2 linked regions of the Styela clava genome follow. The protein of the gene in region 1 binds, or shares a complex with, the protein of each later gene. Links are inferred from orthologs where the notes say so. Each region holds a gene or a part of one and is shown in the gene's direction. Other genes may lie near its edges.

Region 1 (16,313 bases):
TCAATAGAAGACATGAACTCAGTGTTCATGAAGGATGTTTATTGTGGGGAAACAGAGTTGTAATTCTACCTAAATCACGTTCAAGAATTTTAGAAGAACTACATGAGTCACATCCAGGCATAGTCAAAATGAAAGCATTGGCTCGATCATATGTCTGGTGGCCACAACTTACTAACTCAGTTGAAAATAGAGTAAAAGAATGCGCTTCTTGCCAGGGAACGCCAAAAATGCTGAACTACCTATGTGGGAATTTCCCTCAAATGCGTGGGAACGAATTCATGTTGATTTTGCAGGACCGTTCATGGATATGATGTTTTTAGTTGTAATTGACGCGTATTCAAAATGGGCAGAAGTAATCCCTATGCGTTCTATCACGTCGCAAAGAACTATCGAAGAACTCCGACACATATTTGCAAGATATGGTATATGCAAACAACTAGTGTCTGACAATGGACCTACTTTCACGTCGGAAGAGTTTGCAAATTTTATGAAGAATAATGGCATACGTCATCCACGATCTGCACCATTTCATCCGTCAAGTAATGGTATTGCAGAAAGATTTGTCGGAATTTTCAAGAGTTCTCTTCTCCGAGGGAGGAAGGAGAAAGGTGATATTTTGCACAAACTGGATAATTTTTTAGTAGCGTACAGAAATACACCTCATTCGACAACGAACGAGTCACCAGCCATGTTATTAATGAAGCGATCTCTACGATCACGTTTAGACTTGGTCAAGCCTGATCTAGCATCAAAAGTTAATGAAAAGCAAACTAACGTGAAAGATTCGAAAAGAAATCGTAAAACAAGATATTTTGAACTTGGTCAAGCAGTCTTGGCTCGTGACTATTCTAGCAAAAAGAGAAGATGGGTCAGTGGCACAATTATTAAACATCTTGGACCACTGACATACCTTGTCAAAATTTCTAATGGTGTAACTTGGAAACGCCATATCGATCAGCTGCTGAAAGCTGAAAATGACGAACTTTGTCGAAGATATGAAGAACCGGAATGGTACAACTGGAACCGGTCAAGCACATCGGCAGATGACCATCCATCCTGTCCAGCCACAGGGTAATCAGGGAGCACAGCAACATCCTATACCCAGGCGAAATCCTCTCAGAAACGGGAGGCCTGACAGATTAAATTTATAGTGATATTGATAATGAACATTGAATTGAGGGTTCATTGTAAATGTGTTAATTTAGTGACATTGTTCATTTCTTCCTAAGGGGAGAGGGGTGTTGTGTATTTACGTCATAGCTTGTTGTTTTTAACACAGACTAGATTTGTGATTATAATGTCATAATTGTTTTCTCGTAATTGCTCTTTGCTTTTGCCTGTCTGCGTGCTTGTTATTCATTCTTGTGTTTGAACTGTCTAGCGTTAAGCTGTGTTATACTGACGTCTTACTTTGCCGTATAATAAACTGTAATATTTCTGTCTACTGGTGATTTGGTAATACCCATGACATCACAAGATCTCTCCAGACAAAAAATTTAATTAAAAAGTAGTAGTTTAATTTATCTTTCAAAACTTTCTGGATCATATCAAAAAGTAAATATATCGGAAATATCTGTATTATTTTAGCCGATACATGGCCGATACCAAAAAAATGGCCGATATTGCCGATACATCGGTACATCTCTAACTTAAACAAGGCCAATCAATAGAAAAAGAATCTTGTGAATCTAGTCTACAAAACAAAGCGTGCAATGATGATCATCGTATGAATAGTAACATTTTACTTTGCCTAAATCTTTGGTGGTAGAGTATGATAGATGAAATCACAAAACAACTGATCCCACTGATAGTTCAGAGCAATTTAGAAGTAAATTAATTGAGCAAAAATAGCAATATAATCAAATAACAAAGATATGATGGACCATTTAGTTGATCAACATTAGCATGTAAATAACCAAATATAAATGACATGGAAAAGAAGTGCTATTCGATTGACCAACAATAGCACTTTTAACAATTGAATGGCGAAGACATGAAAACGGTATAGTAGTTGAAACCCCCGCAGTATGTGAACCAGGTTAGGGCTAGGCCCAAACCCCATTCAGACTTTTGTTATCTTAGTTCCATCACGAGCTTGGGACTGTCCATGTCAGCCAAGCGAAAACATCCCCTGCAAACAGGTCTCGGTCCCCCTCACAACTCGATGCAAAGCAGGCGAACAGAGTCAGTTACCCGCCCATTGGTACACATACTTCTCGACCGTTCATTAATTAACCAAAATTACATAGCAATATCATAAACATCAAATATATGAAATAAGCATCATTCAATTGATTGACAATAGCAATGAAAGTAATTAAATTAACACAGGTAATGGTAAAAAAGGACCTTGACACAAATCTACAACAATGTAGAGCAGAAAATTGTGTGTATTGAAAAGAAATATTACAATTACAAGTGATTTGAGTTATGGGAGTGGAACTTATCCATTATACATCACAACTACAGATAGGAGTACAGTCAGGAATGACTGAAAGGCAGGTTAAAAGTAATAGGAATTGCTTATTCAGTCATTTGGCTTTAGTATCAAGGAGATTCAACATTATTCAAATATGGTAGATGCAACTACAAGACATATAATGAAAATTGAACAAATAAAGCAACTTTGTTCCACAAGAATCTTAAGAAATATAATAATAGATACAATAAATAATATATTTCATCTGCCAACAAAAACACGCAAGATCACAAAATAGAAAGCTGGGGAACATTGCTTGTGATATTGAAACAAGTCGGCTTACTGAGGAATTGCACTTGATTTGCAAAGTGGCACTTAATGAATAAAATGCTTGCAAACTAGTCACTGATTGCGTGTTATACCTCTTTGACATCATAAGAGTTTCAATGTTTAAAAAACTCTTTGCATCAACTTATGTTTACCTTACATTAGCACCCGTTTACTGCACCTAAGACATTTGCACCCATTGACGTTTTCACCCGCATATTGATTGTTCCCCCGGAAATTTACTCTAATAGGCATTTGAACTATGGTAAATATTTCGGTGAGATGCAATTTGTAATTCGTGTACCTTTTTGAATATTTTTGTTCGGAATCTAATTGCAGAATTGTAAATATCAATTCTGATATTTATTCGATATATTTTTTTGAAAACTCTCTAGCGGCAATAAGGTACAAAAGCCTTTTATAATAGTAGAAACATGAAGTCAATATTGGCAGTAAAATATTTACAGAATACTATAAAGTGCTTCAAAACTTGTTTTAAAAATTTCCAGAATTGCATGATAATGTTGTTTTTAGCAGACTGAATTTGCCCAAAATGACTAAATGGTTTAAACCAAACAGATATTGTGCTGTTTCGGTGTTGATAAATTAATTACGCATAATTCTTTTTCATAGTTTTAACAAAACAAAAATTAGGTTGTATACAATATTATATTCAGGTCATTATTTCTACTTCATTTCAATGCGACCGCAGTCGAACAATTGCTATAACAATCTTCTTCCAACTTTCCTTGTCCTCCATCTCACTGGCAAGATTCTCCCGTGGTATCCCCGTGTCCTGTTTAAGTTGATCAATGTATGTATGTACGACGCTGTCTACCCACGTCGCTGTCTTCTTTTCCCATATTTTGGTTTCCATAGGATCAGTTCATGTACGATTTCTTTCTTGTTTCTATAGCAGTGGCCACTGAATCTAAGGCGTCTCTCCTTTATTATAGTTGTGATTCTTGGTAATTTACCGTATAGTGTTTGTTTGGAATTTTGTCCTGCCATGTTACTCTTTTACCTACTCTTAGCATTTTCGTGTATGCGCCGTCCAGCTTCTTGCTTGCTGCCATTGTGGGAGTCCGCGTTTCTGATCCATATAGGAGAACAGTTTTTGCTGCAGCTCTGAAAAACTTTATCTTTAGTTCTTCCTTCAATCTCGATTTCCAAATTTTTTCTAGTTTGGACAGTGCTGACCAGGCTATTTCAATTCTGGTATTTATATCCTTTGAGCAGGTGTTTACCCATCCTCCAAAATATCGAAAGTCCTCCACTTGGTTCAGCACATCTCCACCTACCGTTTTCAATTCTACATTGTCCTGATTGAAAAGCATGTATTCCGTTTTGGAGCTGTTGATGTGTAGTCCTATTTGCCTTGCTGCTTGTTTCAGTCCCGTTAGTAGTATTTGCGCTTGGTTTAGGTTTTTTGTCATTAATGCCGAGTCATCTGCAAAATCAGCATCGCAAATTACTTTTGCTGGGTGTCGCCTGCTCCTAGCTCTATCGAGAATAAATCCCAGGTTTCGTTCCTCTTCAGTTGTTTGCTTCATGACATAGTCTAAACTCTAAAGCGATTATAAAGAGATATGGCGCCAAGGTGTCTCCTTGTAGTACTCCAGCTAGTATTTCAAAAAACTCAGTGTTGCCGTCCGGAGATATGACTTAAGCTGTATTGTGCATGTATAGCATGTTAATAGCGGTGACTATTTTGGGAGGGATCCCGTACGCCGCCAGTATCTCCATTAGCTTTCTTCAATGTACAGAGTCAAAGGCCTTGCTAAAATCGACAAACGTGAGTATTGCTGGAAGATTCTTATTCTTTATCTCTTTTATAAGTCTTCGTAATGTGAGAACTTGGGCCACTGTTGATCTGTTCTGTCTAAATCCGTTTTGATTAATTCTCAACTTACTATCTACTTGCGGGTATATCCTGTTCAGAAACATTCTGTTGTAGAACTTTGCAGTGACTGCTGATAAAATTATTCCTCTGTAGTTTGTTGTTTTTCCTAGGTCTCCTTTCTTTTGGACTGGTAGAATTGCACCTGTTCTCCATATAGTAGGTAGGCTACAGCTACATCACCATTGTATGCTTCATTACAGACTTCAAGTAGCTTGTCTTTCAGACAGTCCATCTTCCATACTTCTGCTGATATCCCATCTAGACCTGTCTATAGGTAGAATATCGTAAACTTTCTTGATTGGTTTGTCATCTATTGTCGGTGGTTGTCCTAGCAGATTTTGGAAACGTTCCATCCACAGCTCGATTTGCTCTTCTGATTTTTTTGCTTTGATCTTGTTTATATTTGTTCGTTTCCTGCCAGTAATTTCGTTGATGATGTTCCAAGTTAGTCTTGCTTTGCCCGTGTCGTTTGTATTTTCCAACTCCCTAGTTTTTTCTCCAATATACTTTTCTTGTTCGCTCGTGTATGCATTGTCGAGATCTGCTTTTGCTTTTTCCAGGACTCGCTTGGTGTTGAGCGTGGTATCATTACTATTTTTAAATGCTTGATGTAGCGCTTCAGGTCATTATACAAAAATCTAAGTTTGGCCTTTCTAGTTTTTCAAAATTTATTATTTAATATTCTCGTAAAATTTATTGAAAATTACTCAACAAGGTCGTCTTTGGGCTGAATATATATTTTACTTGCAAACTGAGAAACATAAATCACAGTCATGGATATGAAAGCAACGTTTCTACAATATTTGAGATCATATATTCCAAACAAGCCTCTGTATAACTATAAATAAGTGACTCTTCAGTGGACCACTTATATCCATAAGTTTATTTCAACTCCATAATCAGCATAACAGCAATAAAATGATTGATAAAACAGACAAATAAAAACTGATTATGAAATCAGGAGAGCAAACAAAAACATTAGACCGCGTTCAAAACGTACAGAATATAAGATGGAAGCAGAGGCGTGCCAAACTTTTCTGCTGCCTGGGGCGAGTTTCTGACTATGACGCCCCTTATCCCTAACTCAAATAATATTTTGGGGGTTAAACAGATTATATATGTTGTTATACATGAGAATAAATAAATTAAAGGTCAAGTAAGAGAAAAACGTTTGTTTTATTGAATAAATCATCAAACTGAGCAATAAACTCGCTCGTATAAAATGGAACTCATTAACAAAATGGAAGTCACTTATTTCTATGTCCAGTGGCTACTTTGCTGTCAACAAATGTCTGAACGACAGCCTCCTCCACCTCGCTTGTCAAGAATTTCTTTCGATGCTAATCAGATCTAAACTTGAAAGGCGCTAATTTGGCATTCAACTTTGAGAAAGATCGTTTGCAACTAGCTATTAATTTTTTAATTTCGAGTAATAAACAACATGCAATGCAAAAAGTTGGAAAAAGTAGACGTTTTCGCATCCAGATTTTCTGCCATGGTTGTAAACTATACCTCATTTTCGCGTTTTTGCATGTTATTTTTTAGTTTTTGGTAATGTTTCAGAAATTATTAAATAGTTTAAGTACTCGTGTAGCCACCTTTACAATGAGCACCAAAAATGTTGCAATTGTAAAAGATAGGAAGAATTTTTCTGGGGTCAACTCATCATCACCACAGTCAGCCAAACAATACTAAACACTAGGGATGGGACGACTCCGGGATTCGACGAGTCCGAGTAATAGGTCATGGACTCGAATCCTCCGAGTCCGTGACGTCACAACATAAAGAGAGAAAAACACGTTTTTGACCATGCTAAAGCATCGTGCGCTCACAAACATAGTCTAGAGATGTACCGATACCACTTTTGTCGCCGATACCGATCCGATACCAGCTAAAAACGCCGATACCGATACGTCGATACTACAAAAGGGCCGATATTACCGATACCGATACTATGTAATTATTACTTAATTAGGTGTGCTGAGTAGGGCAGACGGGTTAAAACAATAGTCTTTGAGCGTTGTTCATAGTACACATTATTTCAGATCGAAAAAAAAAAGATATATCACATAATATGAAATTAATGTTTAGTATCCATATGCTTTAACTGATTAAGATACATTGTACAGTAACGCTAGTAATCTCGGTGTTCAATTAGAAAACTCATAAGCCGGGATGTCCAATTTGAATTTAATGTTAATATCGCGACCTTCGAATATCGTTATTCGTGTTTAAACGAATATCGAATATCGCCCACACATTCTAGCGCCGCCGTTCTACGTTCAAATTAAAAGTATTTTATAAATGTTTTATTTAGTGGCTAATCGTAATCGTCAACGCCAACATGAAAGAATAACAAACAGCACCGACAAAAAGAAGGCCCACCTATAACCGTCGAGGATATTTTTTTACTTTACTAATTTTATAATATTTTACAATTTCTTTATTTTGAGACAGTCTAGGGCTAGGCGGTCATGTCAATATATCTATAAAGAAATTGTGTAGTTAAACAGAATTAAAATTAATACCTGTGTAGTGGGATAATTGTGTCGGAATTTAGTTTATCGATGTCGACGGACTAAATGACACTCGTACTTGACGACAAACAGTCAGAATTTATACCCGTGCCAAAAGTCCATGTGCCGTTAATAAGGACCCCAATTCCACTGTATGATTTAAAACTGGGCGCCTAGTTTTTGTTATGTGCTGTGTTGATATATTTCTTCATAAAAACTATGTAATATTAAAAATGTCAATATGAAAATTTGACAGCGAAAATAGCCAAATTAGTTGAGCTAGTTTGGCTGATAAATAGCTAAAACACGTGAATCCTATTCTCTCGCGGGGGTAGGGACATGTATGGCTCATAGCTCACGATCTCTCCAGACAAAAAATAAATTAAAAAGTAGTATTCCAACTTATCTTTTAAAACACTCTGGACCATATCAAAAAGGTGAATATATCGGAAATATCGGTCTTAATCTAACCGATACCGATACATGGCCGATACCAAAAAAATTACCGATATTGCCGATACCGATACATCGGTACATCTCTAAAACATACATCGTAGCCAATATTCCCTCTAATTTTTTGTATTATGTGTGCGCAGAAATTTTGGTGTGTGCGCACTTTTTTGGAAATGACTAATATTTGTGCAAAAACCAATGAAGAAATTTTGACGTTCTAACCGGGTAATAAGTGGGCCAACAACAAACTTTCTCAACCTGCCAACCGAGAACATTGTTACATTACATCGATTTACGTCTGTGCGCAGTAAATCTATGCGTGTGCGCGGCCCCTGAAAGCTGTGTGCGCGCGCACACTTTAGAGGGGACACTGATCGTAGCTCATATTTTTTGCCTAAAGGTTTCGTAAATAGCTGTTGAACCATTTTAGAACCACATTTTTCCTTTTTTTTTGCGGTCTTAATACAAACGTAAACGTGGGTCAATGTGCGCCTTGGCTGTGAACTGGATTTCCAGCCCACCACCTTGCGTCAATTCTGGGCGGCTATTCAGAAATTCTTACATGTCAATATGAAAAAATAAAAAGCTTTTGAGTTTTGACTACAATGCTTTCCCATAATTTCAGATATTTCTAGCCGTAAATTTACCATGTCACGTGCACAAATGGTAGAGAAATGCCACTCGTCGTCAATACAATGTGGTACATCTGCTTGCAATTTAGTAGTTCATGTAAACGTTCTAAGCTTCCATGCTTTTCATTGCTCCCTTTTTAGAGAAAGGATTGCATGTAATAAACTCGATTTAAAAGAGGTATTGATGAGATTCCCCATTGGGTTGATCCAGAGTATGTTTCAATTTTACGCGAATCACAAATATTGCGCTAACACATATTTTATTGTGTACCACATGTATACGAAAAAGGATAGATAGTTTGAAGGCGCCTGGCGCAACATCATTGTTATAATCGGTCAATAGTTTTAAACTTGTGTTATATTTTCTGGATATTTGTCGTCGTTTTTTATTAGAAGTGTTTATAATGCACACGGGCGATATTGATACAGATCTGACCTTGAATTTTACCTAGTTAATAAACAATGTTCTGCATTAGCAGTGTTCACAGTACGATTGCAGATGCAGTAAAATTCCGGACATTTGGGCATTTTTTTTATATTCTTTCAGGACGCAAAATTTAATCCTAAATTCCGGATGGTATGGCAACCCTAAGCTAGATTGCGGCGGGTACGTTGATGTACTCCACAGTTTTATTTAGCAATCGGTCGCAAACTGTTGGTCTAGTTTTTCCGGGTTTTAGTTTATTGATAAGAAGTCTTCTTCGAGATTAAAATAAGCGACGGTAAATCTCGCTTTCGTTTACGACGGGAATTTTATTTGCGGCGGAACGAGGGAGTGTTTTTGAAATTTATGCAAATTTCGGTGTTTTTTGGGTGGTAATAGAAGACATATTATCCCTTCCATCTACCAAAGTATTTTGAGTTAGATCACGAAATTGCTACAGCAATATTATGCTATTGTTTGCTAACCACGAAGTGGTAACAGTAAAGGATTTAGCGAATATTTCTATTTTTTTTATCACGGTTTGAAGTTTCAACTCCCAAGAAAAAAAAGCCTTTTTTCTATCCGGTTTGTGACTCAGACCACCACTTTTGAAAAAACTTTTTTTTTTGCTAATTGCAAGCTCTTTAAATAAGCTTTCCAACGAGCCGTCAGTGGGCAGCAGAGGATCATTAGTTTTTCGTTAGTCGATCGATTAGTTGTGGGGGTACAAATTCATAAAATCGGCGTAGCAAATACGATTATTTAATAAAAAATAAAAATCGCATAGAAAGGGTTAAGGTATGTAAGATTCGTCGAGGCAAAATTACAAATAAACGCGTAAATTAATAAAAACAGAATTGATTATAGACTCAGTAAAAATGACGTGGACTCGAAATCGGATCCGAGTCAAAAAAATGCCTGGATTTAACTCGAATCCGAGTCCGGATCCGAATCCTGGCCTATCCCTACTAAACACATAATGTCAGCTTTCAACGCAAACTCTACAGCTTGGTTCTGCTGCCCCCTACAACGTGCTGCCCGGAGCGGTTGCCCCCTTCGCCCCCCTCTAAGCACGCCATTGGATAGAAGGTTTTTCAATTAGAATTGGTACCATTGAGGGTATATACACCTCAATGATTGGTACATGTTCACCAACGACTAACGACAACGACGTGTTCACTCACCTAAAATATTTGAATTATTAATGCGATAAATTACATACTGATAGTAAACAAAAAATAAATAAAAATTAGTTACCGATATATTTAGTTTTTGTTTCATGATTTGTTTATTTTATTGTATATGATAATATTCATTCATGCAATTCATTATTTTTGTGACCAGTAAATTGTGACTTTTCAATGTACAATATGCGAATTTTGGGATTTAGGGTATTACTCTACTGTTGATTTCAATCCTTTATCTGGCAACCATAAATAAGTGACTTCAGTGGATCTCAAAGTGACATTCGCTTGCTTCCGGGCGTGGTTACGTTGTCTTCTACACGCGCTCTTGAAATTACTTTGTTGGTCATACCTTTATAGAGTTTGCTTAAATATTGCTTGACGTGGCTCTAACAATGAAGCGACAGGGTGAAAAAGACAGTCCTTCCAGAAATAAACGCTCGAAAGTACGAAATGGTAGTCCAACCCGCCGAACTTACAGCCGGCACAGCAGGTTCGAATATTATTGCTGAATTATGGCTTTCAGCTTCTTTTTTGTTATCATTAATGTTTTCCATATCAAGCGTCTGAGCGTTGCTATTGATGCAAACCAGAATGTTCAGATGTTGGTTCTGTAGAATATTGTATACCGGTACATTACCACACTGCTTGGTCAGTTGGTACCGGTACGGTACCGTACCGGTATCAGTCTTTTGACTGATTGATTATTGTCCCCAGGCTGCCAAGACTGCAGGGTAAATACTGAAATGAGCGAGATAGATGTGAAAATCATATCCTAATTGTCTGGGTGAAGTTTAGGCATCGCTGACTTCAGGTTTCATATTACGGTACTTGAATAAATCTTGTTTTTATTGGCCCATTCCTTATCTATTTCATTATTTGCTTGTCATTAACTGTAATCATATAAATATAATAAATATTTCGGTTAGATGCTATTCCTAATTGGTCCTTTGGCCTCTCGCATTTGGGTACGTTTTTGAATATTTTTTTCGGAATCTAATTGCAGAATTGTAGTCTAAATATTGAATCTGATATTTTTTTCTAAAATCCTGAAATCTCTTGCGGCAATACGGTACAAAAGTCAAATATTTCCAGAATATTATAAAGTGGTTCAAAATGTATTTCAAGAATTTGCAGAATTCCATGATAATGTTGTTTTTGGCAGACTGAATTTGCCCAAAATGACTAAATTGTTTGAACCAAATAGATATTGTGCTGTTTTGATGTGATGAATTAATCACGCTTGACTAATTTTCATAATTTTAACCAGACAAGAATTAGGTAGTATACAATATTATATTTGGCTCATAATATCCAAGGAGTCAAAACAAAAATCTAAGTTTGGTCTTCCTGGTTTTTCAAAATGTATTATTTAGTATTCTCTAAAATTTATTGAAAATTACTCAACAAGGTTGTCCTTTGGGGCTGAAATTGAAATATATATGGTAGTTCAATGACTAAGAAACATCATTCGCAGTCATAGATATGATATGAAAGCAACCAACTTACAAATATAGAAAATTGAGGAATTTGACTGAATCGATTTGGTATTGGTAGGAATGGTGTAATTTTATATTTAGGTTTTCAATTTTTATATATCAAAACTAGATAGGCTACATGGCCAACATACCCCCCAATATGAGAAAATCAATAGTTGAAGCAGATACGATTTTTAAGCTTTTTAAAAGTAATTCATTATCCAGAACGGTATTGTTGGTATCATTTTATCTATACGTCACCACGAATAAAGATTTTTTATTACAGTAAAAATTTCGAATTTTTGGGATTAATGAATTCTTTTACACTTATTTATTCAATAATATAACAAAACATGCTCATATAGCATCATGTCTATTGATGCTTCTAAGTCCTATAGCGATCACAATTACAAACAATATACCCATTATATGTTATGATCGATACAGCTTTTGCTTTTTCTAGATTAATGAATTTGTTCATCACATATAAAGTGATGCATATTCAAATGACAGAACTTGTTTTTCTTGTATACGTCCCTTTGGAGATATTTATATTTAGCAAAAAGTGAATGTTGTGTAAGAAGATTTGTTTTGCTACCAAAGAGTCATCAGCAATGTGTATACTTCTATTGTGTATTCTGCACTACGCTGAAAGTACTCTACACTTCATACTCAAAGCGCATAAGTGATATATTTACTGACCAATCAAAGTCACTGGGAATTATCTCTGCTTAAATTTGTTTAATATGCTCAACGAGCTGGAATATTGAATAAAAAAGGTTTATATCTGTTTACTGTGAGCAGTTGTTATGCTGCACAGTGCTCTTTTATCTGGAAAAAAGGTTTATGAACACCTTAATTCTAAGCAAATGGAGTATTGAAATTATACTTCCCTGTTTTGCTGTGGAAACGGGTTTTCTGCAGTGTGTGCGCTTATGATTGAGATAAAGGTTTATGAACACCTTACTATGCAATATGATAAATGTGAAAGTTTGAAAAATGTATTCACTGGTAACAAATTATTGCACCTTAGTATGCAATATGATAACTGTGGAAGTTTGAAAAATGTATTCGTTGGTAACAAATTTGAGACGATGTAAAAATGCATAAACACCTAATAAAAACCATTACCTAGCTCGTAACACTGAGATATTGAGAAAGGTGTCTTTCTGTGAAGTTACTGGCTGAATAATAGGTTAGGTTTATGAAACATTGTATCTTATCTCTTATAGCCCGCATCACAGAGATGATCGGAATGTTGGGAGGAGAAATTCGGCTTATGGGAAGAGCGAAGATTCATATTCACCTTCGCAGAGATTTACACCACCACCTCATCGTGATGATAGAAGACGAGAAGGAAGAGAACCGAGTCGAGGAAGTTACAAAGTCTTGTTGGTGAAGAATTTCAGCTCACAGATATCTGATGTCGACATAGAAGAAAGTCTATATTACGAATACAAAAAATTTGGAGATGTTTCTGTCAAGGTTTCTACAGACAACAGAGGAGATCGTGTGGCTTATGCAACATTCAGATCATCTGGTAGTGCAAATGATGCAAAGAATGCTAAAGGACATTTGGTGATGTATGACAGACGACTTACTGTTGAAGCGGTGTATGAGAGACGAGAAAAAAAGACAAGGACTCTTTCACCATTGCCGGTTCCTGACACTAGAGAACGTGAACCAAACTATCGCAAAAGATCACCCTCTTTTCAGTATGATGCAGCACCATCACCTAGAAGGCGATCTCTGTCTCCGGCTTCTGAAGGAAAAAGTTACAGTGTCCACAACAGTCCTACCAATACAGAACCAACCGAACCAAACATCCTTCCTGAGGATGACCCTTATGCCACTAGGACACTTTTTTTGGGAAATTTAGAGGCTGACATTGGCAGCGGTGAGATAAGACGCTGTTTTGAAGTTTATGGCAGAGTCGAAGATATAGACATAAAACGATCCCAAAGAGGTGTAGCGTATGCGTTTGTACGATTTTCCAATTTGGATATGGCATACAAGGCAAAAGTAGCCATGCAAGGGAAACCAATTTTGAAATTTCCAGTAAAAATTGGATATGGAAAAGTCTTCCATTCATCAAAGTTATGGGTTGGTGGTCTTGGACATTGGACATCATTAAGTGTTTTAGAACGAGAGTTTGACAGATTTGGTGCAATACGCAAAATTGACTATGAAAAAGGGACTAGCTATGCTTATATTCTTTATGAAAGCATTGATGCAGCGCAAGCAGCATGCAGCCAAATGCGTGGTTGTACTTTACATGGTTCTGACATTCGTCTGAGAATTGATTTTGCGGATCCTGACCCTGGAATGCCAGGATATGAAGCATGGTTAGGAAGAAAAAATTACAGTGATCGTGACTATCATGATAGAGGTGGTCATTCGAGAGATAAAAGGCATTTTGATAGAAATGATGATCGTGGGAACTTTTATCGAAAAGAACGCCCAAGGGAAAGATTTCATAATGACAGGGGTCGACCTTACGATCGGGGTAACAAGGGTAATAGAGGGCAAGACGGTGGGCGGAGATCACCTGAGAGGTATAACAAACGTTCAAACTCCGACAAAAAGTCCTCACCCAATCGCGCCTCAGTTGTAGTCAGTGAAACTAAGAACAAAGGCCCACATGAGTTTGAGCGTCGGTATATTCCTGCGCAGAGTGAAGATGCTGAGCTCAATTTTAAACATGATCAAATGAAGATTGCAACAGATCTTCATGCATTATGCCAAATACTTAACCCGCCTTGCTGGGATGGTGCCTTTGTATTGAAGAAAACTGCTTTTGCTGTGAGATTTTTCCTACTTGATGGTGATGTTGGACTTATTAACAACATGATCACAACAATAACAGCTCAAGGACTACCTGCAAGAATTTCTTTTCTACACATCACTCAAAGACTAAGACAAGACGAAGATAAACTTCGTGATGTAAGTCGAAGACTAAAAGATCCCGACAGTAAAACTTGTTTGCTTTTGGCAGTACCTGGTATGCCTACAAACGTTAGTAAAGCAGACAGTGGTTCTGTTTTCACACAACAAAGGCCTTTGCGTGGCTTAGTGAAGTACTTCAAAGATAAGGATGCTGCCGGGGTTGTTGCATTCCATGGACCGAATCCACAGCCTGATGCTAAAAAAGATAAAGTTACATTGGGGATGCTGCATGCTTTCCCACCTGGGCAATTTGCAAACGATCATTTGTTTTCTTTGGCACCTTGCCTCAATCCATCCTTAATTATTGAAGAATACATGGTGATTGTTGTAGCTAGAGGTTCATCTGCTTCGTCATGATCAATGCCAACATATCAGTTTAGTACATTGCTACTATGACGATTGCATGTTTGTGTGAAAGGGAATATTGTTGGGTTGTTTTCATTTATAATCAACCAAGATTCAATTTTACAATTCCTGTGTACTAGTTTATTATTCTGAATCCAAATTCTTTTCGTTCATAATAACAAGATAAAATTACAATATTCAATAAATTTTTCAGAAATTTTCCTCAAATAAATTCATTAAAATTTCTAATTGTAATCGCATGTGTTACATAAATGAACTTGCATGAATGTTTTTAATAATTTGGTTATATCTTATGCCAGACAGATGCTACCTTGTTTGTTTGCCTTGTTCATCATATATTTTTTCAAATCAAGACTAGCTCCAGAGAATTGTGGTTAAATAAAAATTTTGAAACTAGTTTTCACATTAATATACTTTTGTGCGTGGAGAAAGCTGTGTCGAGCCTGCCGACATTTATGATTTTCAATTGTGGATTTTGGCATGAGGGAAAAAATCTCTTCATTAGCATTTCGTAGGGCAATAATAGAGGAATATCTTGGGCTTCATCTGACTCAAAAACATGTTCAGTTAAGCTGAACGAAAATTCTGGTCATTGTGTACTAGGTTTAGTGACTAGTATCAAACATTGATATTATTTGTTTATGGGAAGATCTAGTGGTCTCCGTGGTAAAGACAATTTGGCACCCGTTACGAATGTTGAAGACACACCTAACCGTGCATGATTCAAAAAAAAACTTGAACATTTGTTTTTCTGGTAGATACAGTCTCAAACTTTTTTCAATGCCCCAAATATTGAAGTCATCGAGTGGATCTCCAATTTCATTCAAACAAACTACTATTAAGTACAATAGTTCTGAACGGATCGGCCTCGATAGTTGATCAATAAGTGCTTATAGGATATGGCAACCAACTGATTCGAAATCAAGCATGTTTGTTTCGGCCATCTGCGGCTATTTAATTTACAACAGCTTCTACATTTATTTGCTTAATACTCGTTTCCGTGAATATCAATCAATTGAAAACAAAAGTATAAAGTATTTTTACAAAGTTGGTTCATGCGTATAAATGTACTTGGATGTTATCTTTTCAGTTCGTCTATTCTAGGGGTTTTCAACCTTTTTTCCCGTCAAGTACCCCCCGAGTCACGAAACAATGAACGCGAATCCCCGGTAATCAGACCCTGAACAAAGTTGTCATATACTGATATATTGACTAGCAATTTGTTGCAACACCAATTTATTGACCATATGTAACTAAATTGAATCGTCTTTTTGATATTATTGCCCTTTTCGACTGCCTAACTAATGGATTCTTAAAATTTCTCCCAAGTTTCAATAAGCATAACTCTCTAATGCTCTCAGCACGCTGTCTTTAGAAATTTTACAGTTTGTACGCAAAGCTTTGAATTTAACATTGTTGCATCACAATCACAACAACGCAAGATCAGGTAAAATCTACGTTTCAATTGGCGTCTAGTTTCATTGGGCACGCATTTTCCCATGGTATCAATAAAGGATATTAAGAAACAGCAACATACAAAAACTCGACTGTCATCCGAGTACCCCTAGAAATCTTCTTGTGAACCCCTGGGGGTTGGCGAAACCCAGGTTGAGAACCCCTGGTCTATTCAATAGATTTTTTTATACTCCAGATCGTAACATAAAT
Region 2 (17,343 bases), on another chromosome or scaffold:
GGGGTCGTAACTTGCCATATATATATACAGCCAGAAATATGCATATAACGGCAACTCATACGCAGCCAACCAAATAGACATATACTGCCAAGGTCCCATGCATATACAGCCAACTCAATCCACAAATACAGCCATTTGGTTGACGTGGAGATACTGCCAATTTTTTCCTTAAGCATACAATATATACCCTGATGTAAGGTTGCCTACAAGCTATATGAACATTACGATAAATAAAAAATCTACAATTCAAGGTGGATGGACAGATATATGAGAATTCGCAATCTAATAAATCATAATTTTCCGCAACAGCTGATAGCTCATATAATTAGTGCGTTGAAAACGCGTACAAAAACTATGAAACGGCTATTGATAGAATTTTTTTTTTTCATAAGCACTTCGCAATGAATGCATTTCGTGCAGACCAAATAATATTCACACTTTACATGAATATAAGATATAAGTTAGTACATTTATCATCAAATACACAACCCAAATATTGATTGCAAAACTATGCACCGCATGAGGATTTCTCGTGTTCTGTTACAAGCGGTTACCATCGAGGCGAATTATTATCACAGAGGATAACTTTGGTCGTAAGGTAAGTATCGGTACCGGTACCGTAATGCTGAGTGAAAGTAGTGACAGAAATATTAGGAATTACATAAAATAATTATGAGGTAGACGTAATATAATGCCATGATATATTCATTCGCGCCTAGTCTACAAGTTAAATGCTCACATTATGACATAAAACCATAGTTTACTGAATATAGTTCGCTCACGGTCGGTTCGCTACGCAGGAGTGATGCGTTACTACGTCATCAGTTTGCTATATTTTGAAGCCCACGGTAGAGGATTTCCGTTTGAATTTATTTGCATATTTGTAATGGTTTTGTTGGTTGAAATAATTGAAAAGATATACTGACGCATTAGAATAAAGTAGGGGGTCGTGGCATCTGCCAATCATCTCTGCGTCGGTACCATAAGTTATCAAAGTGGAGTAGGGGCAGAGTAATTCTGTTATTCTGTGATTGCATTTATTGGATGGTAATTAAAGGTTTATACCGGGATTATGGCACAAAAGTGAGAATTCAGATACTCCCAAGTATGGGCGATATAAAATACCGAATCCGGAGGATTTGAATACCTAGGACTCGGTTTCCGTCTCTTCGGTTCCGTGCGTCAATTTTTGTACTTCGGATTTATAATTTATTAATCAGGGACGAGCGTTATTCTCTCGCGACGAAATCTGTCTCGCGTGATTATACGAGTTCTCCCGGAAAATGACGTGTCCATATATTTGAGCATTGCTCTCTTGTTTATGTAGGATGTAGCTATCGATGATCATTGACGAATTGGGGTATCGAATATCTCGCTTATTTTTTTTTTGCCGTTGTCCACCTTTTGTTTGAAAGTATTTTATAATTATTGGACACGTGGGTGGACCTATGGATCGTTTTGATATTATGTTGTTGTTTTTGTTGATACTCTTCTTTTTCGTCATGATAAAGTCGCTTTTTTTTCGAATACTGGACCAATTGCTTTGGAATTTTCAGTAGTTGAAGATTGGTTTTACTCTATTACTTTTATTTATTCCTAAATTTTCTATGATACTTATGAGATCTAATATTTCATGCAAAATTGCGCTGTATTACTTTATAATTATGGAAACACGGTTCTGAATCCGTCAAGCGTGACGGCTGACTGTAAAAATTCTTGCGACTGGAAACTCAGAAGTTTTTGAGTGTACGGTACCGGTAACGTCAAAGGTAAGAACTGATTCGCTCTGGTCCACGTGTTCATAGATTTGAGCGTTGCTCTCTTGCCTCATATGTTATCGTAATAGTCCTTGGCGCTGCTGCAATAAATCACAGCCGACGTGACAGGACGCCGACTCGAACTATAATAGCGTAATAATGGAGTATAGTGTCTATAATAGCGTACGCAAAATAGCGAAAAAATCATATATACAAACATACATACATATTCGATATTTTTATAAACACTTCAAACAATATTCGATGGTCGTTATATTCGAATATTGAATTCGAACTGGGCATCCCCGTCAGTCATGTTTACTCATTTTTGAGAGTAAAACACTTTTATTATGTTATAAATGCGGGATGAATCCAAGCACATTGATGCTGACGCTTACCCTTGAGAATAAGGTGATTGAGGAACAAAGCGAAAACGGCGAAATTGATTCATGATTATACTAAACCAAATACGAGTTGTTTATGGAAACAAATACTTAACACCGAATTGATACACCAGAATTCGATTTACAAACTATACTTTCTCTGCGTATACTTTTCCGGATATTTAATGTTCTTCCACAAACTCACGATGGACTTTAAAAATCACAAAGTTGTACTCTTGCATGGCAATTTCTTTCATTGACTCAACGGTATAAAATATTTAATCATTTTAGTTGATGAGGATTTTGAATCATGACATCTTTGTATAAAACGGAAAAAATGTTTCTACTTAGCAAACTGAGCATTCCGCTGATGGTCCATCTCATCAGTAAATTTGCATTACTAGTGACTGGAATATCTTGCTAAGCCTTATGATAGGATAGGATTTACATATTTATCCCGATGGATAAAAAGCTGATAAGATGCTCAATGATATAGCTAACCTTGGTCTCTCGTTCAGATACCAGTCCATGTAGGGTATGGGATTATGGGAAATTTGTTTTCATCGCGGCCACCACGCCAATAAATAACTGAATTCTTCTGTCTAGTGTCATAAAAAATACATGTTATTTTGTTAGCAGTCTTGTGTTGGGTAATTCTCGTTTGCGAAATGAATTTGAGAATGAAATAACGGTAACAAACTTGAGAGTGCGAAGATCCAAATTTGCAAAAATATATTGTGTAAATGTAATTTGTAAGTTTTCCAAGAATAGACTTTGGTGAAAGAGAATTTGTTCAAGAATACAATTTTGCGATGAAGAGGGTTTTAAAAAACGGGCGTTGGCCAGAATGCAGATATGCAAAAAAATAACTTTGTCTGCGGTGCGAAAAATTTATACACAATCCCCCATCTACATCATTCCCTTTAACCATCGAAGTCATGGGCCACGGCATATGCCTGATGCAAAGTTTCATTCACACTTATTAAACCCAGACAGACGCTCTAATGATGGTATGATTAAATAAACAATGCTTATTTTTAAAACACAGCTCAAAAATGAAATTCGCGACATGTAAAAAAGGGAGTCAACTTTATAGCAACAAACTTTACGGAAGTGCAGTTTTGCATAAATATACTTTTGGCGGGAAAGTTATTTTGCAGCAATTTTTATGAAAGATGTAGTTTAATTTAATGAATAAATTCAGTAGTAATTCTAATTTAATCCTAAATTAATAATGCTGTTGTCTATTTCTCTAACTCTAGCCATTGAACCATTTATGAAAAATCTGATTTCTGTCGTCAAATTTGAAATAGAAGTCAGTTCTCACAAAACAACTCATTGACATTAATCTCTAAAGTTTGTTCTCGCAAAAATACAATACCGAAAAGGTTTGTTCTCGCGAAAACCATTCGGTTTGCACGCTGGATGAAACTATCGGCCAAACGAGTCAAAGGTGAGCTCAATACAGTTATAGAAAGAAAAAATACTGTTTATCTATCAGTCTTTTATTATTAGTAATAATTATTAGTAAAAAATTAATAGTAGTTAGTAAGTTATTGGTCATTGATAGTCTTTTTTCGGAAGCATGGACATGATGGTGGAGGAAGCCGTCACCGACCAGCGGTTACGTGAATCACCCTGCTGCGCTGCGGCGGCAATGAGTTCAGCAATCCTCTCGCATACTAATTTTTTGACATGTCAATCCTAACCCCCACCTGACTACATCATTCAAAAATGACGTCACTACACGTCACAACACGTCATAGAACTTTCCAAATACACCTACGATCGCCCGAAATGGCATCAGCGCCGACGATAATTGCTAACTAACGTCAGCGATCTCTCCCCTATCGGGATCGTTGCGACGAGAAAACGAGAAAAATAGCTGTTCGATTTCGGGTTATCGTCTGCGCGTCTTGGGTGACAGTTTGTATACCTTGAAGGGCTCTATTATGTCACTGTGACGTCGTAGTGACGTAATTTTTGGATGGGGTAGTCAGGTGGGGGTTAGGATTGATACATGAAAAAATTGTTATGCTACACCCTCTAGGAGTAGGTACGAAACTACATGAGACCCGGATAGAATTTACATATTTATCCCGACATAGCCTAACTATTCCCGCATGGGATTTCAAGATGTTTCGATATTCGGTTTGATTGAACGAACACTCTAATTTTAAAAATTATAGTGCAGTAGTGTGCTGCCAAACTTGAACCTCTGGTTTTCTGTTTTGCATACTGTGAATGCTGTTTTTTGCGGTTATTTCTTATTCTCTGCCGTGATTATTCATACAATACGGTACATGTCCAAAGATCATTTCGTTAGTACGTTTTCTTTCACTTATATTCACTCCCACATGTGACTGTCTCCTGCCGACAGTTCTTTCTGAAAACTCATGAATTCTTCAGCGGCGATTTTTTTGCTTGGGTACTGAGGTACGGTAACGTTAAATCGTCTGAGGAAAGCAGATAATATGGCGTACCTGTCTGTCATAATAAGGGATAGCCCTGTCTTTACGGCCCACCTGCCGTGGTTACGGCAGCAAAATTTTACCTGCCATTGGTTTTCAATTTGCTGCCACAGTAACGGCAGCTCGTCATTGGTTTGTGACAGCTGAAAATTCAGCCATGGTATGGAAATACGGCCATGGTTTTGCGGCAGCTGCAGACGCCACAGAATACTCAAAACTGCACTTGAGTTTCAGTGTACATTATTAAAAATTTAAAATAATCTAATATCTAAAGATTCTTTTGCATTTCTAGAAGAGAGCTCAATCAAAATCATGAAGTACACCTATAAGTTTTCTAATCTTCTGGGAACCATTTACAAAAAAGGAAATGTTGAATTTTTACCAAGGAAGGACATATTAGCAAGTCCTGTAGGAAATCGAATTTCACTATTCAATTTAAAAGAAAACTCGTCTGAAACACTATCTTTCACAACTAAGTACAATATTGCATGTGTTGCTTTCTCTCCTGATGGAAGGTTGGTAATTGTAATTGATGAAAATGGAAATGCATCCCTTGTGAGTCTTTTAAGTCAAACTGTTATCCATCGATTCACTTTTCGTAAACCTGTCACATGTATAAAATTTGATCCTGCTGGAACAAAATTTGCTGTTGCTATGGAGAAATTAATTTTACTATATCATGCCCCTGGTAAAACACGAGAAATTAATCCTTTCACTTTATATCGAACATATCATGGTGCTTATGACACCATCACAACATTTGATTGGACAGATGATTCCACTACTTTTGCAGCTGGTTCGAAAGATATGAACACGCGTATTTATACTACAATCCCGGGTAATCCTTTATTATTTTCACTGGGAGGGCACAAAGATGAGATTGTGGGTTGCTTTTTCGAATCAAATTCACTTGATATATATACTATTAGCAAAGATGGTGCTTTAAATGTTTGGGAGTCGAACATAGACTTGGAAAATCTAGGCAAAAAAGGATTGAATAGGAAAGATCGTCGTGCTTTAAAAATATTAAATCCTGGTGTTGATGAAGAAGAAAGTGAAATAAAAACAGAACTTTTAAATTATCATAGAGTGTCAAAATATTTTTTCAATAAAGAAGGCAATTATAATGAGGTAACATGTGTGGCTTATCACAAGAAAAATCATGTTTTAGCCACTGGATTTTCATCCGGTTCATTTTCTTTGCATGAACTTCCCGGGTTCAATTGGATTCATTCTTTAAATATTTCGGAACAAAGAATTTCAACAGCTTGCTTCAACCAAAGTGGTGATTGGCTCTCCCTTGCATGCTCAAGTTCAGGGCAATTGCTTGTTTGGGAGTGGCACAGTGAAACGTATGTGCTGAAACAACATGGTCATTTTAATAATATGAGATGTCTCGATTATTCTCCTGATGGACGATACATTGTATCAGGTGGGGAAGATAGCAAAGTTAAAGTATGGAATACACTGACTGGATTTTGTTTCGTTACTTTCACAGAACATACTTCAAGTGTGACTGGAGTTCAGTTTACGAGGAACGGACATGTCATTGTGTCTGCTTCTCTTGATGGAACTGTTAGGGCGTTCGATATGCACAGATATAGAAATTTTCGTACTTTCACATCTCCTCACCCAGTTCAATTTGTGAGCTTAGCTGTTGATTATAGTGCAGACTTGATATGTGCAGGGTCCAACGATAATTTCAATATTTTTCTTTGGTCAATGCAAACTGGCCGTCTTCTAGATGTTTTAGCAGGACACGAGGGCCCTGTTGTCTCTTTATGCTTCTCCTCTGCTGAAGCACTTCTTGCAAGTGGATCGTGGGATGGAACTGTGAAATTATGGAGTGTTTTGGAGACCAAAAGTGCTCGAGAAACCATAACTCTCAACCAAGATGTGCTGGCAATTGCTTTTAAACCAGATGGATCTGAAATTGCAGTGTCAACTCTAAATGCTGAAATTACATTCTGGGATGTCCAAACTGCCAAGCAGATGGGTTCAATTGAGTGCAAATATGATATCATTATTGGTAGGAACGAAAATGACCGAATATCTGCAAAATCTAAATCACAAGGAAAAGCATATGATTGTATTTCTTATATTTCTGATGGACAGTGTGTTATTGCAGGAGGAAAGTTTGCAAGTATTGGTATATATAATGTTAAAGAAGGATTACTTGTGAAGAAATTTACTGTATCACAAAACTTATCATTCGACGGTATGGAGGAATTTCTTGACAAAAGAAAAATGACTGAATTTGGACCTTTAGCTCTAATAGACACCGATGAAAGCAATGAAAAACTGATAAAACTTCCTGGTGTTCAAAAAGGTGACATGTGCAGCAGGTCATTCAAGCCGGAAGTTCGTGTCTCAGGAGTAAAATTCTCTCCTGCTGGCCGTGACTGGGCAGCTGTTACAACGGAGGGTCTTGTCATTTATTCGTTGGACAACAACTTCGTCTTTGATCCTTTCGACCTGGAGATTTCCATCACCCCAGAATTGATTCGTCAAAAAATAGAAAAGGATGAATATGCAGAGGCTATTGTGGTGGCTTTGAGACTCAATGAAGTTCAATTGATATGTGAAGCAATTGAGAGTACTCCCATAGCAGCAATCGAGATGATAGTCAGTGGGCTAAGACAAAAATATGTGGAGAAATTGTTGGAATTCATAAGCACTCAGCTTGACAAATCATGTCATTTCCATTTTTATATTCTATGGACAAAATATATATTTTTGCATCATGCTACACAGTTGAAGCAAAGACAAAATAAAGTATTGGGTACAATTATGGGTATTCTTAAAAAGTTGACCATCAAAAAAGAAGGCTTGGGTTCAGTCTGTGAAAAAAATAGTTACCAAATACAATATATAATTGCAATGTCTAAGTACTTCGGTTCAAAACGCAAAAAGATCAGTGAAGAAGAATCAGATATTGAAGATGAAATAATGGACGATGTGTCCGAAGATTCAGGACTTTCACTCTCTTAAATCCTTTACTCGAGCGTTAAAAAAGGTCATATTGTACTGTATTGTCTGTATAGCATTATAATGGCTTCAAAAAATGATCAATTTTGGAGAAGTGTTTATTTTCAAGATATATCTGATACATTTGGCACATTTTTCTGTTGATATACTTTGGCTCTGTCCTTTCCACAAAATTTCATTTTTGCGACTTGTTATGGCGTACTATTCGATTTATCATTATAGGCTATTGGTATTTCTTGAATATATAAACAATATTATAATTGAATCATTGGTGGTTCCCAAAATATTTTATTATCAGTTTATTAAGTTGCACAATATTAAACATGGAATAACAAATCAACATCTTTGGATTTAGAAATTTGTCAATTTTTGCATTCCATATGCCTATTTGGCTATGCATGTATTTATCGTTTTTCCATGTCTGTAATGATTTCAGTGAAACTATGAATGTCATACTGCTATTTGATTAGTTTTTGAACGAATACCACTGCCAGGATTTTCAATAAACGATTTGATATGATTCTCGAGTATTTTCTTTTTTCAGCCAAATACTGTTGCTATTTAAAAAATTGCAGAGAAGTTTTATTGCATTTTCTTATTCTCTAAAATGAGTGATAAACTCCAACATATTCGTGAAAAACAGAAACGCAGAAGACAACTTCTTGCAAAACAGGTATTTATGTTTCATTTTTGGAATAAAAAGGTCATAGCCATACTATAGAAATGCCGCGCTTGTTACACAAGTAAGAGCAATTCAAATCTGCAATTCATTAAACAGTATATGAAAATTTTTAAATTTGGACATTTTTGGGTTGGAAAATACTATTTGAGGGCGAGGCAATTGAAGTTGTATAGGCAATCCAAAAATTGCCTATACTCGAAGGTTTCGGCTGTAAAATCACATTTAATATGTAGGGTTAATGTAGTCATTCACTTTTTGTGATGTATTTCTTAAAAATATTAGACGACCATGATGAGCGTAGGTATAAGATTATTTTCAAAGTGTCAAAAAAGTCTGGTGAATACAGCACAAAAAAATTTCACCGATTGTTAAAAAATTTTCAACACTGTTAAATCCTTGTTAAAATATTCCAGTTGGGTGTCAACAGTGCTGATAAACTTCACACCGTGCTAAGCAGTAAAGTTGAACAAGAGGAGAAAAAAATCGAAATAAAATCCAGAGAAGAATCATCTACAAAATCTCATGTTCTGACAAAAAAGCAGTCAAAAGATGATGTCGTAAGGTTTTTACTTGCTTGGATGTTGTGAATACAGGAATGCCCATGTTTGGGATTGCAAATTGGTTTTCTTCCAACTTATTTACCAAACCAAATCATGAAATAAGTCTTTACAAGATGGGATGGAATTAGTTGCAATAAAGTATCAATAAATAAGTTTTTAAAATTAAAAGTAGATGTTTTTTTCTATCTAATGATATTTATATATCTTGTAATCCCATTTGATAATTATTAAATATGTTTTTATTGCTAACTTCGCGCTCTTTAAAACTTTTTAGTCTCGTTCCAAAAGCCTGGATAAAGAGAAAGAATCTGAAGAAGTTTTCAAGGATTCCAGTACATTTCTAAAGGGAACACAAAGTCTGAATCCTCATAATGATTATTGCCAGAATTTTGTTGATACTGGACAGAGACCTCAAAACTATATCAGAGATGTTGGTGAGTAGACCTGTAACATAGGCAGGCAACAAGCAATGCAATTGTGAGAATAAAAATTCTGTACCAGATCATTTTAGATAAAAATGTCTGGAACTAACTGAGTAGTATTTGTACCTGAAATCATGGCCTAACCCTAACTTGGTACACATACTACGTTCCGGTGTCCACCATCATGGTTCACGTACTACGGGTCTACTACAGGGGTTATATACCAGCATCGTATTATTGGGGCATTATTTGCAGAACAAGTGAACTTGGAATTTTACAGGTCTGGCTGATCGTTTCGAGGAATATCCTAAATTGAAAGATTTGAATTTTTTGAAAGATGAATTGATACGGAAAACAAACACTCCACCAATGTATCTCCGCTGCGACTTGGAAAATTTTGATCTTCGTGAATTAGGGTGTGTACAAAATAAGTTATAAGTTTGGCAATAACGCACAAAGCATGAAAAACATAGGTTGACATCGCATGGCTGATTACTTGTGTCGGTTCGCAAGTTTATTTATATCTCATAAAAGTCAAAGACATATAAAAAGATTGCTGGATTTCTTGCCCATACACGATGGTTCTTATATCCGCTGATCTGTTACACCTTCATCATTTAATTCCTTGAATCTACAACAAATTAGCTGGTTGATACAGATTACTCAACCTTTTTTTGCTTAACGAACTCACAGTTCAAGTGGGTTTCGAATATCTTGAACCATTTTATCCTGTGCATAATTGATTTTATAATTCTCATTGCCCCATTATTAAGAGTAAGATAAAAATAATTTACTAAAACAAATTCTTACTTGCAGCACAAAATTTGAAGTTATCCTTATTCAACCTCCGCTAGAAGAATATAGAAAACAAGCTGGAATGTCTTCAGATATGGGGAAGGCTTTCTCATGGGAAGATGTATGTTTGTTATCGATATATTTTAGGCATTAACTTCACTCCTACTCACTCAACAAGAGTGAGTGACACCAGAGCTCTGTGCTGTTTTCAAATCGCATAATAATTATCGTTCCAAATTTTACAATGATTTGAAAATATTGAATAAGACAGCAATCCCATGATATTAAATGTCATCATAACAACCAAGTAAATATTAGGAGAGCTGTTTAGTAAAACTTTGTTATTATATTATTCTGTTGTTTTCAAATCATAATATGTAAATGAAAGTTCATACCAATGGTCTCGAGTTTTATTGTGTTTCAACATTCAAGTATTAAAATTCCTGAATATAGCTTTTGTAAATTCAAAATTTGACCAATAGTTTGATGACATTCCTAAATACAGATAATGGCAATGGAAATAGAAGAAGTGGCCGCCCCAAGGTCTTTTGTATTCCTTTGGTGTGGTTCATCTGATGGTCTTGATCATGGTAGGCAATGCTTGAAAAAATGGGGATTTCGTCGTTGTGAAGATATTTGTTGGATCAAAATCAATTTCAAAAAAAGAGTTCCAAGGAATGTTGAACAAGGTGCTCTGTTCTGCCGTTCGAAGGTACCTGTGATAATTCTTTTTTAATATTCTGTACATAAAAAGTAGAGTCCTGAAATCCGAAACGCTGGCGCGGCGGTGTGGCTCATTGTGCTAAGCGTTAGGAATAATTTCGCCACCGCATCTATGATTACTCGGTGTGGGTTCGCAGGTTCGAATCCCACGCAGTGATGGTTATGTGCGAAAAAATTGCTAGACTCCTTGCTGCCGTAGGGTGGTTCATGTAGCCGTTAGTCGGTGACGGCTTCCTCCACCATCAAGTCCATGCCATATGGTTGAGCCGTCTTATCGTTTTTTCTCTCCCCCCGGGATAAATTTGTAAATCCTACCCTACCCTAAAGTTGGTTGTCAATAGAGAATCTTCAACATAAATTCTTCTTTAAATTTGTCTTCCAAATATACTTTCCTAATCATTGTAGATTTAAATCTGTGTAGTGAACATGATATATTCTTGTTTGTTCATATTGTTTATTACAAAATAATAATCATTAGTGATATTATCTCATTAATTTTCATGGAACATAGGAACATTGTTTGATGGGGATCAAAGGAACAGTAAGACGAAGTATTGATGGAGACTTCATACATGCTAATGTTGATATTGGTTAGTACTTAGTATCTAATTCAAGTTGTTGATACTGTGTTTTGGGAAGTAATTTTCGTTGCCACATCATGTGCCAAATTACAGCTAAATCCAGCCCACTTGTGTCTGCTGAAATTACGACTATAGTTTTAATGAATATAAATTTTTGTTGAAAATATCAATCAAAATAACGTCATAATGATCCCGATTGTTACACTGTGCTCCTTATTATTACATAAACATTTAGCAATTGTGTCGATGAATATTCTTATATGGATACCTCTTGTAGAATCAGTTCTGTGATGAAACTCGTAAATCTTAAATAATTATATTTTGTCTGTGTGGACAGATGTGTTTTAGTCTCCATGTAGTATGAAAAATCTATCGTGTGACAGCATATTGTGAGGCATTCTACTTTGTAACATAGTTTTGACAAGGATAATACAAATTACCATTTTTCCAAATTTAGACTTGATAATTGATGAAGAACAGGAGTTGGGAAATGAAGAAAAACCGGAAGAAATATTTCATCTCATTGAACATTTCTGTCTCAGTAGAAGAAGATTGCATTTATTTGGAATGTGAGCCTAAAACTTTAGATAATCTGACATCAATATGAAACAGCTGCTTTAATGTTACCCAGATAAAGTTCTTCAAAAAAATTCGCAATTTGATTTAATCCTAAAATTTTAAGAATATTTCACAATATTCTTGTTTTCGAATATTAAATTCTTTGGTATTATTAGTTAATTTTCTAATCATCTCAAAGATGGTATTAAAATACTCTTATATTGATATCCCAGAGATTCTTCAATTCGTCCTGGTTGGTTAACAGTGGGACCTGGTTTGACCAATAGCAATTTCAATGCGGAAACTTATCGTAATTATTTCAAAGTAACGGAAGACCATCCACATGGTTGTTTCACAGGTGATTTCTTTGTTTTGATTTGTGGGTGTACAGATGTCGGGTCTGTATATTTAGGTATTCCGCTGGAGGTGGTGGCCCAGTGATCTAAGTGTTAGATAGACCTACTGTGTTGTCATCACAGGTTAAAATCCTGGATTCGAATCCCATGCACATCTCACCAAGGCTTTATTGAATTGGGTGGGCAAAACCGAAGCAAATGATCCAGTCCTTCCTATAAGTAGCTCCTCAGCTGGAAGTGGCAGCTTGTGGAGAACCTTGTTCGAGGCAAAAGACATAATTGTGTTGTATACAAAAAAATTAGTATTTTTAAAATTGATGCATTTTGGAACAAATTTGCAGATGTAACTTAGGTAATTTTACCTGATTGAACGGTGGCTTAATTTTTGGCAACATTCAAGATTTACAGCATCAAGTTAGTTTTAAAAAGATTTTCGTTTTCAGTTTTTCATTCTATTTAGGTTGTACCGAAGAAATTGAGAGACTACGGCCAAAGACCCCTCCACCTCGTGATAAGGGGGAGAGAGGAGCACATCATGGCCCTGGTGGCCGCGGATCACGTGGTGGAGGTCGAAGGGGTGAATTACATGGTCAGAGGTCCAGTCATTTGGATGGGTCACATCACTCAACTGGAACTCTGCTGCCATCAATTGGCAGAAATTTTGGGTCTGACCTTCCTGGACTAAACCCTTCATCAATTGGCCTAGGACAAAGTCCACCATTTCGAGATTCCGGTTTAGGGGTCGATGGTAACAGACAAACTTATCCACCTAATAAAATGAGAAAACGAAATCTCATGACACAGAGAGATACCAATCCAAGAGGTTTTCATAACTCTGGCCGTGGCAATTTTAGTAGGAGATAGTATCAAGAGATGTGTTTTGTCCTAAATGTTTATATCCTTTGTCTGAATAGAATAGGATGGAATCGGAGCAATGAAGCCATTGAATGTTTTGAAAGCAAGCATATTTTTAAAATTAAACGTTTTTGATGCATTTATATACCATGTGAAAAACATTGGCGAATTATAGGATTTCTGGTAATCTTAAGAAATTCTTTTGTGGCAACAGTGAATAAAGTCTTTCTGGTGTGATTTCAATGGCCATGTCTAACTGAAATTCATTCTTTTCGTTTAGTTGTGTTGCTTTTACTTCTTGTGCTCCATCGTTATATGCGGTTGCTTCATAATTGATGGTATGGTAGTAGCATGTATATGTATATATTGCCACACAATCAGACAAGTTGTGTCGCAACTTGATTGAAAACAACGAAAAGAATCTTTATGTAACTATAGCACTGGCTATTTGGACGCTTTACTTCGAAATATTAGAAGTTTTTTTTCACGTACAGAAAACAATGCGATTACACTCCCTAAGTTTCACAAAGTGCTTTTTTCGATATTTACTTACACATGATGCGTATAGTTTTCCTTGTTTGCACTCCAAGTTTTGACCCTAAGAATCGATTCCAATGCACCGGAATCGATTCTGGAATCGAATCCGCCATCCCTAGCCATAAGTGAGTTTATTGCGAAATCGTGGCGTCCTTTCGTTGAGGGAAGTTTTATTAAAGAGTGTATGTTGAAGGCGTGTGAAATAATTTTTTAACAATGAGAGTTAACAAATCATCCTTTCGCACACGACTAACGGAAGAAAGTTTGTATGCTGTCTAAAGTCCATCAAACCAACGCAAAATAAGGCTAAACATCGAGTCTCTCACCGCTACAAAACGGTGCCAAATAACCAACACAAGTAAACGAATATATTTCATGTCTCGCTTAGTGTAATATTCAAGGGTAATTTCAACAAACATATTCAGATTTACTTTTTTGATTTTTGTGTAACAATTTTGTATATAATTTGTTAGTTTGCGGCCCACATCGTCAATAAATTTCAAAGAGTGGCCCGCGACATATTTTGAGTTTGAGACCCCTGGTTGGGGCAGCAAAAATCGCCCAGCTTTACACAAAACCGGCAAATTCCTCAAAACCAACTGGAAACGTCACAGTAATTACAAGTAAAAACGCTCTTGTACAAGACGACCAATCCAGCTTTTCAACTGTTGTAACGTCGCCCCCCAAGATCAGTTTTTCAAAATCGGTAACAGCAAAATGACTTGCGCTGACCATGCAGTTTAGAGTGACTGTTCGGTACTATTGACCGACAAACACTTCCCTTATTACAAGTCATCGTTGTATTAAAATCTCCGGTTCGCTGTATAAAATAGGCACGGTGGTATACACCTGGCCACACATGATTTATTTGCAAAAAAAATTATATTTGAACGAGGTACACTAGCATGCAAAAAGTACATATCACGAATACTCCATATATTTTCATGTATTCAATAATAAGGTAGTTAGATAGGCTACTTTGCAGACTCAAAATGATAACATTATCCCAAACTATTTCTTTGCACACCATATCTCAGAGCCTTTGTACTACATAATAACATGTCCCGCATCCTTATGTACAAACTGAATTTACCTTTGATCTGAATTGATAACTAAAACTAACTTCTCATCGCTCCTGACTGAGCAGACACAGACTATGTGTGACTCATAAGTCTCGTCTGCAAGTTTGCACATTTATCGGGGTGAAATATACCATAGCAGTGTCCCAAGTCCCAGATAAGTTTCCGGTGGCCTCGGAGAAAAACATATATTGAAAAAGATGTTGTATATCAATGTGCTGTATGTAAAACCTCGCTAACGAAAACACCTTTCAAATGTACCCAGTTCCGAATTGACCCTGGTCAAATGTTGCTACCGATGCATTCATGTGAAATGGTATGGACTATTAAGTAGAGGTAGATTCGTATTCTGGTTAGTTTGAGATAAATTGGCATACACTGAGACAGTGATTCCTAACCTGGGTTCGGTGGAGCTGTTCCAGAGGTTCGACAAAGATCCTCTGAAATAGTTTATATATATTATGGGACTTTTTTATTACTTCCTCTACTAATTATGTAAAAGTAACTATAGTTTATCGCAGATATCCAAACCTGAAAATTCAACAATCAATAAATTAGCTTCGTGTATGGTTTCGCGCAGATATAAGTTTTAGTCGACTCGCTGATGTTCTTAGAATTTAGTACGTTTTATTGAAAACTCGTATATATCTCCACAGATGCCATGCGCTTTGGTGTCTGTAATTATCTATGATAACGCTTTTAGGTGCTTTCTGCTTATGGCTTCGAAATATCTTGGGTTGTTATGACAAACCAAGGATTTTAAGCTAAATATGTGCGTGTCTCTTATTTGTAAACTACCGTACTAATAAAATTTATAAACTCAGTTCCACAGATAAATCGAAGATTGGCAGTTAATGTACATAAATGAATGCAAAATCAGAGCGTGTTTGAATTTCACTAGGTGATAAATTTGCGACAAAAAAATATTTTTAATTTCAGAGCTTTGTTTGAAATTATTCTCATCCGTTCCAAACAACCCCAAATCATATCCTATCTCTATTCTGTAAAATAAAACAATTGGCAAAACCTTATATCCACATTTTAAAGCAGTTTGATGCTTGAGAAACGAATGACTTGAACTACTAACGTTTTTGAGGCATATTATCATCGTTTGGATTTTCAAAGTTCCTATTTCCACGTGGCACAATGGCGTATTGGTATCTAAGGATAAACGATAATGTTCATTTTCTATAACCTGGCACGAAATTAGCTTCTCTTTGTAAAGTTAGGATTGGGCTCCTAATTTCAACCGTCAGTAAGATGGGGTTCGGCGGGAGCATGCCGAATAGTGCTGTGGTTCGGCAGGCTCGGAAAGGTTAATGGACTATTAAAATCCAATGTAAGAATAGCAGCCCCTAAAATGTTTTATAAAAAAATTTTTCAATAAAATTGACCCAGAGGTTGGGACTAAAAAATGTTCCGATGCCCGAAATGTCATATCCCAAAAAACAATCGTAAAGCACCCATCCCAACTTAAGCGAGGCAAAATTAGAGAGAGTTCTAATATTTAAAAAAAATTCTCAAGTATTGCGACTTATTGTTTTTATTTACAGAATTGGTAACTTTCACGCTGTCGCTACCACAAAAATGACATATCCTTCGCCTTCAACTAGAGTCAGACGAGTATCATGAACAAGCGAGAGGATTCCGCTAGGGGCATACAATACTATGCGCGACATCGACAAAACGTTGTCGAAAAAACACAGAGAGCATACACTAAATCTCGAGTTTCATCGACCTTTAGTCCGCTTGATCGAAAAGTTGCGTTTCTACTTCCCTACTATTTTAGTCATGAGTTCGGTACGCGTCGCACGCACTAGACCGAAACCATGCGTCATACCACAAGTGATATCCTACTCTCTGATTGGCTGCGAACATAACAGCTGAAGTCGAGAAAGAGCTTCTCCCTTCTTTTTGAGCGATAGGCCTACTGCCTGCACAACTCACTTCGTCGAGCCGATGGGACAAAAGATCGGGGTTGACGACGCGAAAGTGCTAGGTACGGACGATTTCGTCTAGCGGTGTAGTGAGGGAGTATTCGTATGTAGATTTGCCTCTCATAGTATTCAACTTTAATAGTTTTTTTTTTATTGTATCTGTGACCTACTAAAAGCTGAAAAGCGAGAAAAGATAAAGTCATTCAGAGTATTGTATCTGTCAATTTGTACGTAACCTATGTTATAGCCTATGAACAAGTCAAGATTTTAGAAAAATTAATAGATTTTCCGAATTCTACTACACAAACCTGCAAAAAGAAATGTGGATTGGTTAGTGCAGCAGTACTGTCACTATTCTGCTATTGTCATTACAGCATTAAAATATCTGTCTTTCAGTATCTGAATGTTCAAAATATCATTTTGTCTTTATTATCATACCACAATATATACCTACCATTATATTATTTATCATACCCCCATACTGAACCAGTAAACCTTGACAAGAAATAAAATATTTTATCCACAGAGGAACAAAAATTTTATTTGTTTTGTATTTAAGAATTTTTTGTCTATTTCAACATTATTATCATTATTGTATTTATTGCTAAATGTTTTGTATAGTAAAACTAAACATTAGTGTAATTGAAGAAACCTGAATA

The links.
Region 2: putative RNA-binding protein 15B (region 1) and N(6)-adenosine-methyltransferase non-catalytic subunit METTL14-like share a complex: the UniProt entries of both Drosophila melanogaster proteins name them as parts of the WMM complex. The link is inferred for Styela clava from reciprocal best matches to the Drosophila melanogaster genes nito and Mettl14.

Annotation. Positions count from the first base shown.
Region 1 is NC_135258.1:21,861,374-21,877,686, forward strand, and holds putative RNA-binding protein 15B, read left to right. Parts: upstream 1-10,118; 5' UTR 10,119-10,253; coding exon 10,254-10,351; intron 10,352-12,568; coding exon 12,569-14,639; 3' UTR 14,640-15,044; downstream 15,045-16,313. UniProt on the Drosophila melanogaster protein: RNA-binding protein that acts as an associated component of the WMM complex, a complex that mediates N6-methyladenosine (m6A) methylation of mRNAs. M6a modification plays a role in the efficiency of mRNA splicing and is required for sex determination.
Region 2 is NC_135261.1:19,296,335-19,313,677, forward strand, and holds N(6)-adenosine-methyltransferase non-catalytic subunit METTL14-like, read left to right. Parts: upstream 1-8,133; 5' UTR 8,134-8,206; coding exon 8,207-8,272; intron 8,273-8,694; coding exon 8,695-8,838; intron 8,839-9,115; coding exon 9,116-9,275; intron 9,276-9,543; coding exon 9,544-9,679; intron 9,680-10,079; coding exon 10,080-10,179; intron 10,180-10,563; coding exon 10,564-10,770; intron 10,771-11,292; coding exon 11,293-11,371; intron 11,372-11,819; coding exon 11,820-11,931; intron 11,932-12,153; coding exon 12,154-12,278; intron 12,279-12,736; coding exon 12,737-13,140; 3' UTR 13,141-14,177; downstream 14,178-17,343. Other genes in the region: periodic tryptophan protein 2 homolog, read left to right, coding at 3,566-3,593, 4,904-7,602. UniProt on the Drosophila melanogaster protein: Non-catalytic component of the WMM complex, a complex that mediates N6-methyladenosine (m6A) methylation of mRNAs, a modification that plays a role in the efficiency of mRNA splicing and is required for sex determination.